Regions from separate parts of the Mus musculus genome. Here regions 1, 3 and 4 are each reported to be linked to region 2. Evidence: microRNA targets listed by miRTarBase, many of them from high-throughput screens and not tested one by one. Region 2 holds a microRNA gene; each other region holds the end of a gene's coding sequence.

Region 1 (4,166 bases), not on the chromosome of region 2:
TTGTGGATGTTCGGCATTGACTTTTGTAGAAGATTGAAGCTCAGAAAAGCACTCTTTCTTTTTTTGAATCAACCATCTCTCATTGTATAAGTTACCACTCTGTAGCCTGAGCTTTATTTATTTCTGTCTGTAGAGCAGCTAAGAAGGTCTGTGCCTCGTCAGACCTGTGGTTAGTTGTGGCTTATGTTGGTAGCCCCGTGGATCTTGGCTGGGCTCTATCAGGAGCCTGGGAAGTGGCTCACCTACAAGGCTCTCCTTAGAGCTGGGAGAGCTGGCTTCCTCTCTCTGGTCTCATCCTCCAGCCCTTGCAGCCTCATTTGCATGGGTGATGGTCAGGAAGTGGATGTCAGCCATGCGTCCTGAGGCTTAGGCATGCAGCTGCCATCCTGGCATTTCCATAACATTATACATTAGCAAAAACAGGTCACAAAGCCAGTTCAGATGTGACAGATGACAAAGTACTCTTAATCCTTAATGGGAGGAACTGTAATGCCACTTGAATACAGGCAGGGGTAAATGGAAACCTTACTGCTGATTATTAAAGGTTATGTACTTCAATAACGGAACCAGTAAAGATATCATTTTTTCCCCTTTAGATAAACGGATCCAGTTGTACATGAAAGGCCTGCTCTGTCTTCCAAGCACTCAGAAGAGCATGCCTCCTGTGCCAGGTGGCCTTGATGTCATCCAGCGGGAGCTGGAAGTGCTTGGCTGCCAGTATGCAAACATTGTGAATCTCAACAAACAGGTGTATGGACCATTTTATGCAAATATATTCCGAAAGCTGCTCTTCCGGGATGAAGCCGTGGGGAAGATAGATGCTTCACTTCCCACTAACTAAAGAGACGAGATGGAGATCAGCACTTGGTACATGGTCCGTTTCCACCAGTGGCATTGGAGATGTGGCCCATTCTCCGCCCTGTCCCTAGACTGCATCCGTGTAACCTGGTAATGGATGCTAGCACCACAGAGGGCCTCACACCCCTCTTGTGTTTAAAGCAGATAGTTTTAATGAAGAAAAGTAATTTGTAATGAATTATATTACCTATATAACATTGGTGTTTTCTTAAACATTTATATTGAGATTTTGTTGTTGTTGTTTTGGACAGTGTGTCTGTGTAACAGCCCTGGCTGTCCTGGAGTATATTGCACATTTCTATGTGACTTGTTCATTCAACCTGAAAGGAAATGATTTTTGTTTATATACTTGATTATACTGCAGCTGCCTGCAGGAATACAATGTGCAAACATTTAAAAATACATTGAAAATGAAGGGCATTCTGCTTCATTTTTTGTTAAGTGGCAAAGTAAATTTGTGTCTTGGATATGGATTTAGCCAAGTACATTTATTAGGGTTTTTTAGAATCATAGCTCTTGGCATGTTTATTTAGTTTTTACTTAAATGTTTACTTCAACTTTTGTGGCTTTCCTAACATGGTTGTTTTATAATAAAAACTTTATTAAACAGAAGACATGGTAATCTTTTCATTCTTTTATTGCTAAAACAGACTAAGTACATCTTAAAAAGTCTTTCAGCATAATCGGTGCTTCTGTTTTCTAACTCATCTTGGGATCTGGGCATTCGCTTTTTTTTTTCTTGCTTCCCTTTTTTGAGACTGGGTCTCACTCTGTGGCTTGCCTGGATTTGATATGTATATCTGACTGGCCTTGGACTCACAGAGATCTTCCTGCTTCTGCTTCCTGAGTGCTGGGATTAAAGATGCCCCAGGCCCTTTTTATTAGTTACTCTTGGCTGATTCTGTGCTGCTTCTCAGAGCTTTACAGACATGGTGTCATTACTGTTTATTCAACCCACTGTGTGTTAAGGAGGCCGTACTCTGGCAGTAGAGATACTAAAATTGAACCAAAGATTAGCATGGTCTCTACACAAGGAGGATATGAAAATCCCTGAGACCATCTGTATTTTAAAACAAAATAAGCCATATCTGGAAAATACCATCTTTCTCTCTCTCATGCAGAACCTGTGTATATACTGAAGACATAAAAGGAGGAGGACTATTCAATGAAATTAAAGAGGACGGGAGTCATGGGACATGGGGAGGAGGGTGAGAGAGTAATGGAAGCATCAGTGTGATCAAATCATATTACAGACATGGATGGAAATGTTATCATGAGCCAGGCATGGTGGTACAATCTGTGTAGTACAAGCATCCAGCAGGCTGAGGTAGAAGGATCCCAAGACAAGGCTAGCCTAAGCTGCAGAGACTGACTAACACTTCCACATTGCTGTTCATCACCAAAAGAAGTCAGGACAGGAACTCATTCACACAGGGCAGGGACTTGGAGGCAGGAGCTGATGCAGAAGCCATGGAGGGGTGCTGCTCACTGGCTTGCTTCTCCTTGCCTGCTCAGCTTGCTTTCTTATAGAACCCAGGAGCACCCGCCCAGGGATGGCAACACCCACAATGGGCTGGGCCCTCTCTCCTTGAACACTAACTGAGAAAACGCCTTACAGCTGGATCTCATAGAGGCATTTCCTCAAGGGAGGCTCCTTTCTGTGTGATAACTCCAGTCTGTGTCAAGTTGAAACACAAAACCAGCCAGTACAGAAGATAATTCTTGGGTAGCGGGTGGGGGAACACGACTCTTGGTCCTGAAATCACAATCTTGTATGTGTGGTGTGTGTGTATGTTCACTTGAGTGAATCTGGACCAAGTATCCAGACCCTAAGTGGTGAGGCTGAAAGGAGGAAGTAGTTGATTCTATTCCTGGGGCCCCACGGAAGTAACACTCTTGTGTAGAGGAATGGCATGGGATGAATGCTCCCAGCCTGCTAGCTCTGAGGTGACTGAAGGATATCTGGGAATCCCAGCATACTGGGGCAAAGAGTGAACATACTTCCTCTTCAGAGAATCCTGATGTCTGCCAAGTAAGCGACATGTCTGAGGAAGTGGCCTTCATGATCCTTTTCTCATGAGAAAGTAACTTTGTTTTTAATTATAAGACACAACACATCAAAAAACGTTGGACTGCTGGCAGATTTCTCAGTCTGTAAGGGGTTTGGGTCACTGAACCCAGATAAGCTATTGTTAAGGGAACAGTACCTGGTGAGAACTGGACACTGGGAAATCTCTATTCTGCTCTGCCTTTAAAAGAAGCTGACACTTTGAATAAAGTGTGCGTTGGCTGACTTGGCTGTGTAACCCCCGTGTCTTGTTAATGCAGCTCTACCCTTGGGACCCAACACACTAGATGGCTGTTGGCATTCCTTTTTATTTGTTTGTTTTTTGTTCTTTTGTTTTTTCGAGACAGGGTTTCTCTGTATAGCCCTGACTGTCCTGGAACTCACTTTGTAGACCAGGCTGGCCTCGAACTCAGAAATCTGCCTGCCTCTGCCTCCTGGGTGCTGGGATTAAAGGTGTGCGCCACCACGCCCGGCTCAGCATTCTTGTTCTAAAAAAGTAGTGTAGGTCTGAGACCACAAAAAAAAAAAAATCCAAGTTTGAATTCACCTCAGCGATCCCATAGCTATGAGTTCAAGCCATCTTTTAACCTTCATGAAGCAGTTACCTAACCTGCCTTTCCAGCAGACCTCACAGGATGAGGCTCGATCGAGATGTGTTTGAATGGTGTCATGGCTATCCCTGGTTGTCAACTTGACTCTATCTAGAATGATCTATGATCCAGAAATGGAGGGCACACCTATGATCCAGACCTTGAGAATGGAAGACACAGGTTTCTGACCTATATCTTGACCTGGAGATCTTGAAGCAGTGGCCATGAAAAGCTTAGGCCCAGGCAAGGTAGTACATGTCTTTAATTCTAGGAGACTGAGGCAAGGAGATTTCTGAGTTTAAGGTCAGCCTCAGACAAAGCAAGTTCCAAGTCTAGGCATGGTGGGACACACCTTTAACCTGGGCCTCACCTCCTGCTGGAGACCTACGTAAGGACATTGGAAGAAGGAAGACTCACCTCTTCACTTACTTGACAGCACACCTGTTGGAACCAATTCTACAGAAGACCAGCCTCATGGGACTGAACAACTACTACTTTTGGACCTCACATTCACAGCTGCTCATTGTTGGGTTAGTTGGACTGCAGACTGTAAGTCATCTCAATAAATTCCCTTAATATAGAGAGATATTCCGTAAGTTCTGTGACTCTAGAGAACCCTGACTAATACAAATGGTCTGCCAAGTACAGCA
Region 2 (4,166 bases):
AATTGTCTTGTGATGTCCTTTGTTCAGGATACCAAATAGACAACAGTGGAGAGTGGTAAATGACCACTGTGGATTGCAAGTGTAATTCCTGGCCTAGAGGTGGGGTTTGATGTGAATAACATCCAGAGCCTCAGTGAGGTTGGGGCCATGGTTAAGCAGCAACCAGGGGCTAGAGAATTACTATCATACAACTGGTTACTCTGGGCAGAAAGAGAACTTAGCCTCAAATCGGAGGCATTATTAGATCCAAGGCCTGAAGAGTGTCTGTGGCTTAGTTAAGAGTTGGGAGTCAAAGACAGGTGAATTTCTGAGTTCGAGGCTAGCCTGGTCTACAGAGTGAGTTCCAGGACAGCCAGGGCTACACAGAGAAACCCTGTCTCAAAAAAAAAAAACAAAACAAAACAAAAGAGAGAGAGAGAGAGAGAGAGAGAGAGAGAGAGAGAGAGAGCCTTTACTTTGTCTTGAATAACTTCCACATCATGGGTGGAGAGAGAGAAACTCAAACCATGCTGTTGGTGCAGTGATGAGCTAGAATAGTGAGGGCTTATTCCCAGAATTTCTAATAAGTTCTCAGACAGTGAGCAATGCAGACCCTTGTCTCCAGTACCTCATTGAACTTCAATGTGCTGAGTACTGGCTTGAATGAACCAAACCTTACAATATTTGGAGAGTTTCACAGAAAGAAGTGCCAAATCACTCACATATTTTGATGGCAATTAATCTCAGAATTCAGTTCTAGAATTATGAAACTTACAAAAGGTTGGGTGCCATTGTTATTGGCATTTTTCTTTTGTTTTTTGTTTTTGTTTTTAACAAGGGGTCTCTGATAAGTTGATCTACAGGAGTTAGGGCTCTTGATCAGTTGGCTTTATATTCATAAAGTTACAAGGAAGTTATTGAAATTCACCATGTTTGTGTTTCTTTAGAGTTTACAAATTATTAGGTGCCAAGAAAAGCCTCTTTAATTAAATTCTATCACAAATATGCTACTTTCAGTGAAAGCCTCTGATTGCTTCTCAAGTCACTCACGCTGAAACCCAGCATCCTCATCAATCCCCATCCCCACCTATCTTCTTCAGTCTCATTTCTTGAGTATTTTTTTCCATTTCAACTCACTGGACCCCAACTTTCTTGTGCCCAGACTCAGTGATCCTTGTTTCAGATTGCACATTTGAATTCCTCGGGTGTCTCTTTTATAGTGGTGTGCGGACCCTCTTTCCAGGCACTCTGATCAAGGCTACATGTGGTAGACCTCTGTGTGCAGACAGTGCTGCAGACATCTAAAACAGCAATGATACACCAGTGATACTGACACACTAGAAAATGCTGATGCTGACACTCAGGCCATAGCAACTGTTTTGAAAAGTTATTTATCCCATTGAACTACACCCATCTTCTTTTCTTTGTGAAAATGTTAGCAAGAACAGCAATTCTTTTTGTTTTTTTTGTTTTTATTTATTTATTTATGTTAGATATTTTCTTTATATACATTTCAAATGCTATCCCAAAAGTTCCCTATCCCCTCCCCCTGCCCTACTCCCCTACACACCCACTCCTGCTTCTTGGCCCTGGCATTCCCCTGTACTGGGGCATATAAAGTTTGCAATACCAAGGGTCCTCTCTTCCCAGTGATGGCCGACTAGGCCATCTTCTGCTACATATGCAGCTAGAGACACGAGCTCTGGGGGTACTGGTTAATTCATATTGTTGAAGAACAGCAATTCTTTAACATTTTTTTTTGTGGGGAAGGGTTATTTTAACTAGTATGATTATATATTATTTGGAAAATGTTGGCACTTTACAAAAGTCTAATGACACTGCAGATTTTAAATATGAAAGGTCTTTATACAATAGGTAAGTTACATTATCACTTAGAGTTTAGAGTTCACTCTTTGAAAATAACTAGTTCTTCTACTGACTACTTTCTATTCATCCTTATATGTTGCAAAAATTATAGGTCATATTAATTTGTTTTGATACATAAATGTAACTTAATCAGGTTGAGGCATACCGGCTTCTTTTTCTGTGGGCATTCAAGAAAAATATATGCCACTCAAAACTTCTGAAACATTCTTAATAATTTTTGAAATAAAAGTTGATCATATCCTTAACTACAAATTTGTTTCATTTGATTTGTTTGATGTTAGTGGATTAATAAAGAGAACTGGTCTTGAATCTCAACCTTGAAAATTTTTTTCACTTTTATGTTATTAAAGTATGTTTATTTATATAGATATTTATGTACATGTTTATGTGTATGCACATGAATATGTGGTTATTCATGCACATGTGATTTTATGTGTCAAAGTTAGGTGTCCTCTTCATTTATTCTTGGTCTTATTTTTTTGAAATAGGATCTCTCACTGAGCTGAAGCTCACCAATTCAGCTAAGCTAGCTGACCATTGAGGCTCAATGCTTTTGCCAAGTGAAGGGATTCATATCTGTTTTGAGGACCAACAAGGATTAGAGTTGGACAGAGGCTCAAGCATCTTATGTAAGTCTCAGTCTGCTCTGCAGTTTGTCCGTAACTAGTATTCATCAGGACTGTTGAATGTAAGGCATTTATAGAGAATTAGGAAGGGGGATTAAATGTATTCTGAAGAGCTGAGGTCACAGGAGGTCCTCAAGGAATGCCTAGATTGATTACCTAGAATTTGATGGACAAGTATCCACAAAGGAAGTGGAAGGGGCTTTCACAGAGAAAGGACTTTGTGTTCAGCTTCTGAAATCGCCACATTGTTGCTGAATTTTAAAGTGAAATATAAAACAACAAATAACACAGCAAGTGCATTATAAGTAGAAGTGAATTCCAGCTAGTTTCTTTTCCAGACAAAGAAACATTTTAGAAAAGCATCAGTAAGATTTAGAAGAGGTTGAGGACAGACAGTAACTCTCATAGGTCTGCATGAAATTCAATTTTGGTGTTCTGATTCAGGTTGTCATGATCATCTTTGGGTCCACAAGGTCAAGGAAATTGCTCTGTTTAGCATAATCCCAGAGACCACTGTGAGGAATGATAGGGACATCTCACAGTTGCCAGCTGAGATTAAACCAACTCATAGCCATCCAGGTTGGACCTGCAAGAAAATTCTTGTGATCAGAGGTGCTTGGAGGCTCTAGGTAGAACTGTGTCTGTTTCCTGAATGTACAAGGTAATGACCTGGTGCTAAAATCACATGGAGTTCTCTGAACTTTTCTTGATGAGACTGAACAAACTATTGCTGAACTAAAATTTATTTTCACAGGTTTCTGGTATAGATAGTCTTGTATGTTATATCATAAAAGCATCTTTGTATTAAGAAAGGATTTCCATGACTTAATGTTTATACAAACACTATCAAGTGTGAATAGACACCAATGTCTCTAAAACCACTTACCCAAGAGACATTCTAAAACAAGATCTATAAAGAATTTAGAAATGCAAAAACTCAAAAGCTTCCTCAGACAAGGGAACTAGCAATTACATAAGTCAAAGCAAAGAATGACTTCACCGATGGTCAGGTGTGACAAGGGACATCTGGCTTGTGGTTAGGGATTTCTGTGTCCTCCTTGTTTGCTTATGCTATGTTATTATGGCTCAGTGAGATTGGGCCATGAGCTGCAGCTCCTTTTAGCTCAGTGGACGAGGCTGATCAATGGTAGACATAATGATCAAAAAAGAACACGAGAGGGAATAGCTTCAGAGAGTCTCCACCATTTGGTTTGGATAGCATAAGAGGAGAACATTACAAATAAGACCCACTTAGAGATTTTGATTCAGTGTTTCTGGTTGGGGGATCTGGTTTGTACTTTGGTAGGAATTCTCCCTGCCTTTCTCACTAGCTTGCTTTCAAACCAGACCATTTGTTTTCTCCCACCCAGTCACCTCCATCCAAAACAAAATCCTCAAAATGCCCAGAATCTGAAGGTCTGTGTTCTGTCTTTGGTCCACCTGGGATATTTTTCTCTTCTTCTCTCCTTGCTTTAGCCTATACTTGGGCAGCTGTGCAGAGGACATACAACGAAAAATGCCAGGCACTGATTTCTCTCTCTGGTCTCTTTTGCTGGCCATCCCTTTGAGTTTGTAATTTCTATTTCTGCACTTGTTAAACACAGTGATCTTTTCTGACTTACACATTATCAGGCTGTGAACTTCTATATGGGGAAGGTATGTACATACCTTTTT
Region 3 (4,149 bases), not on the chromosome of region 2:
TGGGAGTTAGCTACCTGGTCGCTCTCCTCTCGGCCCCAGAGGAACACTGGGAAGAACATTTTAGACAGACTGAAAGAACAGCGATCAAGAAGGAATGTACCTAACTGCTGAATTTAAAAATATTTTTGAGCCTGGTGTGGTGGCACATGCCTTTGATGTGTCCGAGGTCCCTGTGCATTTGAGGTGAGCCTGGGGTACATAGCAAGATCCAGGACAGTCAGGACAACATAGAAAGACCCTGTCTCAAAACAAAACAAAATTTTTATTGTTGTTGGCTTTCCTTTTTGTTTTCCAGGGATGCATAAAAAGTCCACAGGGATGAGAAAACCAGAAAGTGAAGACAAGTTGGCAGGACTCTGGGAGTTTGACCATCTCAAAAAGGGTGCTAATAAGGATGAGGATGGACCTGAGAGGGGGCCAGACGAAACAACCCAGAACCCTGAGAATAGCTTGGAGGATGTGGCCATTGACCTGTCCAGCTCTTCCAGGCAGGAGACTAAGAAAATGCCCCCAGGGTCCAGTACTCAGCTGCCCCAGCCCCCACAGGTGGGAGCCTCATGAGACTGACAGATTGCGTCCCCCAAAGCTGGACAAACACCTTCAGTTTGATTTTCTCTCTGAAATGTCTGGATAAAAAGCAACACTACAACACTGAATAAACAATGACGTAGGGAAAGTTCCCTTTAGTTCTAGAGTGGGGAACATTCATACCACCTCTCAAGCCAGTCAGTTTGGTCTAAAATCTTGTTTTTCCTTAGTGGAATCTGAACATGGAAGGTTTGAAGTTCAAAGAAAATTTTAGGGATGGGGTATGACGTCGCTTAGTTAATAGTACACAAGAAGGCCTGGATTCAATACCCGGCACCACTCAAACCAGATACAGTAGCACGCACCTGCAATCCCAGCACTCAGGGGGCGGAGACAAGAGATCAGATGTTCAAGAGCATCCCAGAGAGAGAGAGAGAGAGAGAGAGAGAGAGAGAGATTATTACTCCCTAGCATTATTTAAGATGTGGTTCAGTCATTAAAGAGGGCTGGTCTGACCTCCTCACTCTAAGTTAGAATATTTGGTTTGGTTTTGGTTGAAATGGGTTCTTGCTGTGCAGCCCAGGCTCGCTTCATTTTCATGATCTCCTGCCTCAGTCTCTCTAGTGCTGGGTTACAAGTGTGAATATAATTGTTATACCATCTCTAGGCTTCAGAGGAGTGAATGAATGAATGAATGAATGACTGCTATATTACCATTCCTTGAGCTGGGTCTAGGACATCTCTGTCTTTGTGATAGGTGATAATTTTGTGTTCTCAGTCACTTGATGGGCCTTGAATATTCGAGGTATAAACAACAAAGAAAGCCACAAGCCCCTCCTTCTCTGAAGTCACCTGGAGCCATGTTTAAGCAATTGTTAAATATCTGGAGACTGTCTGAAGGTCAGACCCAACTTCTTGGTCTTTTTGAATTTATGTTTGAAAGCACTTTAGTAACTTGGATTCATGAATGTTGTCTTCCCTGTATTTCTTTTGCCATTTATTTGTTATTTAAAAATAAATGTGTCGTGTGTCTGGCTCAAAGCTACTTCCTGGCCCCTCAGTAGGCTCTCCCCTTATGCCCCGTTTTAGTCTGGAAACATGCCGAGCAAGCTGTCTTTCAGCCCGCAGAACTTAGCACAGGGTCTGTGTCATGTACTGTGTGGCAGTAGCCCTGGCTTTTGGAGTTCAGAGGCTGAAGAAGGGTTGTCTGTTTTGGGCAGCTTCCTCTGCAGATTATCTCAGGAACCCATCAAGTTAGGCTGTCCCCACCTTCACCCTAGTCTCTTTAGATAAGAAAACGGGCAGTCTCTTCCTTTAGTCTAGGTTTGTCCTATGTTAGTTCCATAGTGTTACACTCTATATCAATGAAGTATTAACCCTGTGAGATGATGGTGAAATGTTGCTAGGTGAGAAGCCCTTAGAGGGGGAAAGAGATAAGAGGAAATAAAGATGTTTAAAGTACACTGAAAATAAAATAAATAATATTCGACAACTGGTTCGAAATAAACATGTGAACAATGGGCAAAAGTCTCTGAAACATTCTAAGGAAAACAGAGATAACAAAAATGGTGTGGGGCATATGTAACAGATGTGCAGCTGGGTCTTCACGTGGGACTCCTAAAGCAGGAGCAGGGGCCGTCTCTGACCTCATTGCCGTCCTTTGGATTCCCCCTCCCCTAACTGCACCTCAGCTCACTGCAGCTCAGCGTGCCAAGCCTGGCTGATATCCATGTGAGGTGTCCCCTCTTCTGAGAAGAAGGGGAAGGGGCTGGGGGTGGGGAGGGGAGAGGAAAGGGAGGAACTGGGGGGGGGGAGAGAAGCTCTCGATCAGGATGTAAAGTAAATTAATAAGTAATGGGAAAATGGTGTGAGAAAAGAGGAAAGCTATATATTTGTGTGTGTGTATATATATATATGTATATATATTTTTCTTTTTTTCCCTTGACTTTTGCTATGTTACCCAACCAGCGATCCCTCTGCCCCAACCTCCACAGTAGCTGGACCACAGTTTTGTGCCACTGTGATCCCGCAGCTAAAACTGTGTTAAATATGTAAGAAAAGCACTATAGCTCAGTGTGCTGGTATTTGGGAGGCTGGGCCAGAGGACCTCAAGTTCCAGGTTAGCCTTTGCTACAGAGTGAGATTTTTTTTTCCTCCCAAGACAGGACCTCACTATAGAGCTCCGGTTGTCTTAGAACTCACTGTGTACCAGGCTGGCCTCTGCTTGGCCTTTGCTTCTTAAGTGCTGCGATCAAAGGCCTGGCCATGAGATCTTGTTTTTTAAAAAAAAAAAAAAAACAAATAAAATAAAAATCACTATTCACAACTAAAATAACCAGTATGTTCATTAATTTGTTTTAAAACTCTTCAGAACTTGGGCTGGGGAGCTGGTGGTTTAGAGGACTCACTGCTCTTTCAGGGGACCTGGGTTCAGCTCTCAGCACTCACATGAAAGCTCACAACTACCTGTAACTCCACTGTGGGTGATACAATGCCCTCTTTCTGCTTTTGTGGGACCTGGGAATGTGTGAAGGGTACAGACTTATAAGCAGACCAAATACCCCCATACTAGAACAAAATAAAATAATAACAAAATTCAAACCCATACGCTTTTATTAGGGAAAAAAATCTACAAATGGCACTTTTTTCCCCTTAGGTAATGCATACCACTAGCACTAAATCAGCAAAAGCACAAAATATTAAAGATCATTAAGCAAGGAATCCATAGAGCATTGTACTACAATATGGCTGTGGATCGATGGTTAAGCCACACCTGAATTCTTAAAAGTTCAACAAAGCATTTTAATGGTACAGACATTGCTCTGGTACACAGAAAAAAGGTAAGAAGATTTCTAACGCTAACATCATCCTAATTCTAGAACCCCCAAAGTCGATACACCCACCTCCCAGCTCTATTTAGCGCCATAAATGGAAGTGTGAAATGTGCAAATAATTCTCAGTGTTTACAACCCAACAGAAGGCCAGACATGCTCTTTGTATGCCGGTCTACACCAAGCACACAAAGGTATTTTTTTAATATTACACATAACCTGGCAATGCTAAGGTATTTTGATGTTATGAAGGAAACTGCTTACACATTTATTAGCATCTCAGACTGTACAAGAAGGTTATATTGATAGATATTGAAAACACTGAAGAGGAAGGAGCTGAGGAGACCGCTTAATGGATAAAATGTTTGCTGTGCAAGCATGAGGTCTGAGGTTTGGATCCCCAGAATCCATGGAAATGCTAGACAGGCATGGTGGTCTGCCTGTAATCCAACCCAGGAGGCAGAAGTGAGGGACCACCAGGGCAAGCTGGCTAGTTAGAGCAGCCATAATTGGTGATCGGTAGCTTCAGTGAGAGGCCCTGCCTCAATAAATAAGTGGGGAACAATAGAGGAAGATGCCTAACATTAATTTTAAGTCTGTGCCTACACATACACACACACACACTACATACACACACACTACATACACACACACTACATACATACATATGTCCATGGGAACCTCCCTTACAGGTGCACTCCCACACATGTAAGTGCATAGACAGGAACTCACACCACACAAAGGTATCCACAGAAGAAAGGCACTCAGTAAATGAAACATCAGGCTCCTA
Region 4 (4,166 bases), not on the chromosome of region 2:
CTCTTCCCAGAGTCCTGCCCATAGTTTTAACTCCACCCTCCATCGTTAGGAATTTTGACCTGTGCCCAAGTCCTTGGCTAGGTACTGACCATACCTTGTTATCTCTTCCACAGAGTCTCAGAACCTGCCAAAGCAGCCTCCTTTGATGCTCGCCCTGGGCCAGGCATCTGAATGTCTACGGCTCATGGCCCGAGCAGGCCTGGGATCTTGCTCCTTTGCCAGAGTCGATGACTACTTGCACTAGCAGACCTTCCTGGCTGGCTCTGGCTGGCCCTCCTTCAGCCCTAGGGCTGGAGCAGCCCTGTCCTCCGTAGGCATCTGGTACAGAGACCTGGAAGCCATGGGCAGAGTTCACTCTTCCTACCTGGCCGGTCCATCCTCCTTTTCTCCTTCCCTTCCTCCCTCCCTCCCTTGTCCTCTCCTCCCTGTCCCCTTCCACGTGCAGCGACCTGTGACTCAGTATTGGCTGGTTACTCATGTGGTAGCTTCTCCTTTAAAGGAGATTTTGTTTTGAGGAGAGGTTGGTTTTTTTTTGTTTTTGATCTTGTGTTTTTTTTTTTTAACTTTTTTTTCCTCCTGACTGAGCCACCAGTGTTTATCTCGGGAGAGTTTGTGCTGAGCTGGTGTCTGCTAACTTAGTAATGAAGCCTATCCAGGTTGATGATAGCTTATTATTTTCATAAGTAAAAAAACAAACAAATGAGATTATATATATATATATATATAAATATATATTAAAAAAAAAGTCACAGTATTTATCGTAGCACTAGTGGTCCAGCACCTCTTGGGTGAGGCTGTCCAGACACCATGTGTTTTTATTTGAGTCCAACTCATTAAAAAAGAATCATCTCTTGTCACTTCAATCAAGTGATTTGTTTATTTTAGGCTCCCCTTTTGTTGAGCCTCAGGTTCAGCTGCTGCCCAGGAAATATGGGTTTTGGGGAAGGCTGTTTGGTGGGCAAGGTCAGACTAAGCTGTTTTGCAGCATCCCAAGAGGTGTGGGTCTCTAGGCCCCCTATAGGTAAACAAAAGAACTGCAGGTTCAGGGATTCAGGGAAGTGAGGTGGGCCAGGGGCACACAGCAAAGCAAGGGAACACAGGGTCCGTAGCCAGCATGCTGTCTACCACTCTACCCTGCCTCTCACTGCCTGCCTTGCCCCTCTCTCCCATCTCAATGCCTGCCTTCCCTTGTTAAGATGGCCAAATAATTCATTACTCTCAGTTGATTGCCTGGAAACTACCTGCCTTCATCCCAAGAGCTGCTGTGTGCCAGGCTGCCAAGAGGAAGCCATTCCCAAGACAGAGGCCCTTAAGGACAGGGCTCTTTTCTTCCTGCCAGAGTCTTCACCATCACTGCCCAACCCTGATGGGATTGATGCTTTCTGTGGAGAAGTTGGTACCTCATGGAGACTGATTCTTGGATCACTGGTCCCAGAGTGGATGGAACCCTTGACTTCCTGATCCGGATTTCCCTACAGCTTAAGGAAGGCTGCTCCCTACAGCGTGGCCCCAGCGACTCTTAGGAAGGGGGGACTCCATGGGCCTTACATATGTCCCACCAGCTGTTTCACAGGATCCTCACAGCTGGCGGGACAACAGCAACAACAAAACCCACTATCCCAGGGCTGAGATGCTGCCAGGACATGAGTAGGCCATCTGTGGAGGGGACTGTCTACCAAGGAAGAGGAGGGTCTATACAGAGGACACCTAGGAGGGCCAGGATTTTACCTGCTTCACAGGGTGAGTGAAAAGCCTAGGCAACCTCTGCAAAGATTAGGGTCAACTGTGGCAAAGCCACAAGTGAGTTTCCAGTCTCCAAGTGCATCTGGGCAGGGGAAGCTTTTGTTCTGCTGGTGGACACAGAAATCAATGGCAGAGCTCGAGATGTTCTGTGCCCACCAGTCCTCACAAGGCCCACAGCTGGACAAAATTGAATTAGACCATCTGTCAGTGAGGAAGTAGGGCCTTGACTGAGATCCTCCAAAATTTTGCTTTAGGGTCTAATCCTACAGGCTACTATGTTTTCCTGGTTCCTGTCAGGGCCTTAGTTTACAGCTCCTCAGGAGGTCTTGTCCTATGTAAAGGAAATTTCATCCTGTCCAAGGCTGGGACACCCAAGCTCCAAGCTCAGGTTGGAAATATCAGGCTGTTAACAATGGATGGGCCTTACATTTGGAAATGAAAACCAGAGGCATTTGCAGAGCAGTGGAACTTAGAGAACCTCTCCACCAGTCCTCTCCTTTTACAGTGAAAGAAACAGGTCCAGGAAATTAAGTGATTTGACCAAAGCCACACAGCAAATAGTGGCAGAACCAGGACTAACTACTCCTGTGGGTTAGACAAGTCCTGTCGTGACCTAAAGCAAAATGGCAAATGAGCTTTGTAAGGGGTTAGGTTGGCGTGAGTTCAGCAGTGCCTGAGCAGCTGGCACCTTTCGTGGTGTGACGGGTAGGGATGGGTGCTGAGACGTGGATTGCGGAGTGGCTGAGAGGGCCTTGGACGGCTTGGGACTGCTGTGTGCTGCACGGGATTGTATGTCCACCTGGCTCACACTCAGTACCCATGGCCACCTCCCCATTTAATTCTGTGCCTTATCTCACTGTTTCAGCTGAGTCCAAGTTGTTTACTCTGTTCCTCTCCAGAGAGGCTTTCTGTCCTAGTTGGACAGCTCACTTTGGGGACATAAGCCTTTGTTCCACAAGCTGTGGGGAGGGCCAAAATCAAGCTGCTGGAGCCAGTAATTAGTCCAGTCCTGCTGCCAGAGGAGACCTGTATGCACCCCCAATTCCACTAGCCCATTTCCAGGAATCTGGAGTGAGGAGCAGTTCCTGGAAGCAACTTAGCAAAGAGCTGGACCTGACCCTGGTGTGCAAAAGGAGGACCTGGCCGGGTTGGGTTTGTCCAGTCCTGAGGTAGCAGCATTTCCTAGCTCACTTTCCCTAGGAGGCACAGATGGCAGCTCCTTGCAGAGCAAGGGCCAAGTTGGCGGATGACTCAGAGTCCCTCTCCCCCAATCCCTTCCTCTGAGGGTCTGTGGCTAGGTGCAGACTGGGTGCAGAACATCACAAACTAAAGAAGTAAGGACTGCCTGGCTACCCAGCACCTTCCCAGTCCTTAAGCACAAAGATGAGGCAGAGGACTGTTGGGGCTGAACGTTCCTTTGGTTGCTCACAACTCAGGTATGCATGTCATTCGGCAGCTGGACAGCAAAGCCCTACTTCACCACCAATCACAGGCATTTGGACCTGTGGCCAGATGGTGGCTTCTGGCTGTCCCAGTGCCCACCTCTTTGCATCGGTTCCCTCCATTATCAACTACAGCTGAAACTGGCATCCTCCACAGTGTGCACACTGGCTCTGCCTTTGTCCTTGCAAGTTGATATTCGGCATTAGCATGAAACTTGTGGTGTGAGAGGGTTGACAGAATTCCAACACAAACATCCTAGTAAATTGTACTTGAGATGAAAAGATTCCTGTTGTATTTTGACAGAATTATTTTTATTAAAATACACATCCATGAGCAATTGTGTCTGTTGTTCAGAATCTTACTGGAGTTGGGGTTGGGAGGCCCTACCTCTTGGTACCTCGGGGACTTTTGAAATGTCAACTTTCAACTTTACAAGACTCCAAAAGGGACAGGGACTTGAGCTGTTCTCGATTGAAATTGTTCTCAGACATGGAAAAAACAAACTCAACTTCAGAAATGTGGGCTATTGCTGGGCGTGATGGCGCATGCCTTTGATCCCAGCACTCGGGAGGCAGAGGCAGGCGTATTTCTGAGTTCGAGGCCAGCCTGGTCTACAGAGTGAGTTCCAGGACAGCCAGGGCTACACAGAGAAACCCTGTCTCAAAAACAAAAACAAAAAAAAAAAACAAAAAAAAAAAAACAAAAAACAAAACAAAAAAAGAAATGTGGGCTATCAATTGTGTCTTCTTTTCCTTCAAAGATGAAATAGGGCTCAGTCTCAACTGATGGATGCCACAAATCTGCCACCTAAGGCTCTATCTAGGGTCATAGTGGAAGAAGGGGCAGGAAAATTGTAAGGGCCAGAGGAACAGGAAGTTTGCTGTGAGATTTCATCTAGAAATGTCAGCAGTTAGATCCATGAAGTCTCTTCAGCGTGGCTGCGTAAACTGGACCTGAATCACCAATTGAAGTGGGCGCTC

Evidence for each region. Region 2 holds the annotated microRNA mmu-miR-216a-5p (UAAUCUCAGCUGGCAACUGUGA, at 3,029-3,050, opposite strand). A microRNA usually pairs through its seed, bases 2 to 8, with sites in the 3' UTR of a target mRNA and lowers its output. Matches are read on the target gene's strand: a 7mer-m8 pairs with bases 2 to 8, a 7mer-A1 pairs with bases 2 to 7 and ends in A, and an 8mer does both.
Region 1: miRTarBase lists Tcp11l2 as a target of mmu-miR-216a-5p. Seed matches in the 3' UTR shown: 7mer-m8 at 1,081-1,087.
Region 3: the mRNA of Vsx1 is a reported target of mmu-miR-216a-5p. Seed matches in the 3' UTR shown: 7mer-A1 at 982-988 and 7mer-m8 at 2,667-2,673.
Region 4: the mRNA of Ranbp10 is a reported target of mmu-miR-216a-5p. Seed matches in the 3' UTR shown: 8mer at 701-708.

The regions. Positions count from the first base shown.
Region 1 is chr10:84,612,886-84,617,051 of GRCm38, forward strand. It overlaps Tcp11l2 (t-complex 11 (mouse) like 2), which reads left to right. Exons shown (of 10, transcript NM_146008.2): 10 at 597-1,470. The coding sequence ends at 841. It also overlaps the pseudogene Gm25657. Among named protein-coding and RNA genes, the nearest start is that of Polr3b, 7.3 kb to the right of the region's middle.
Region 2 is chr11:28,755,902-28,760,067 of GRCm38, reverse strand. Mir216a (microRNA 216a) reads right to left here and starts at 3,056; the gene lies at 2,985-3,056. The region is part of intron 1 of Gm40818 (a long non-coding RNA gene); the gene reads right to left.
Region 3 is chr2:150,679,413-150,683,561 of GRCm38, reverse strand. It overlaps Vsx1 (visual system homeobox 1), which reads left to right. Exons shown (of 5, transcript NM_054068.2): 5 at 296-2,860. The coding sequence ends at 561. Among named protein-coding and RNA genes, the nearest start is that of Vsx1, 7.6 kb to the left of the region's middle.
Region 4 is chr8:105,767,665-105,771,830 of GRCm38, reverse strand. It overlaps Ranbp10 (RAN binding protein 10), which reads left to right. Exons shown (of 14, transcript NM_145824.5): 14 at 114-3,523. The coding sequence ends at 244. Among named protein-coding and RNA genes, the nearest start is that of Gfod2, 11 kb to the right of the region's middle.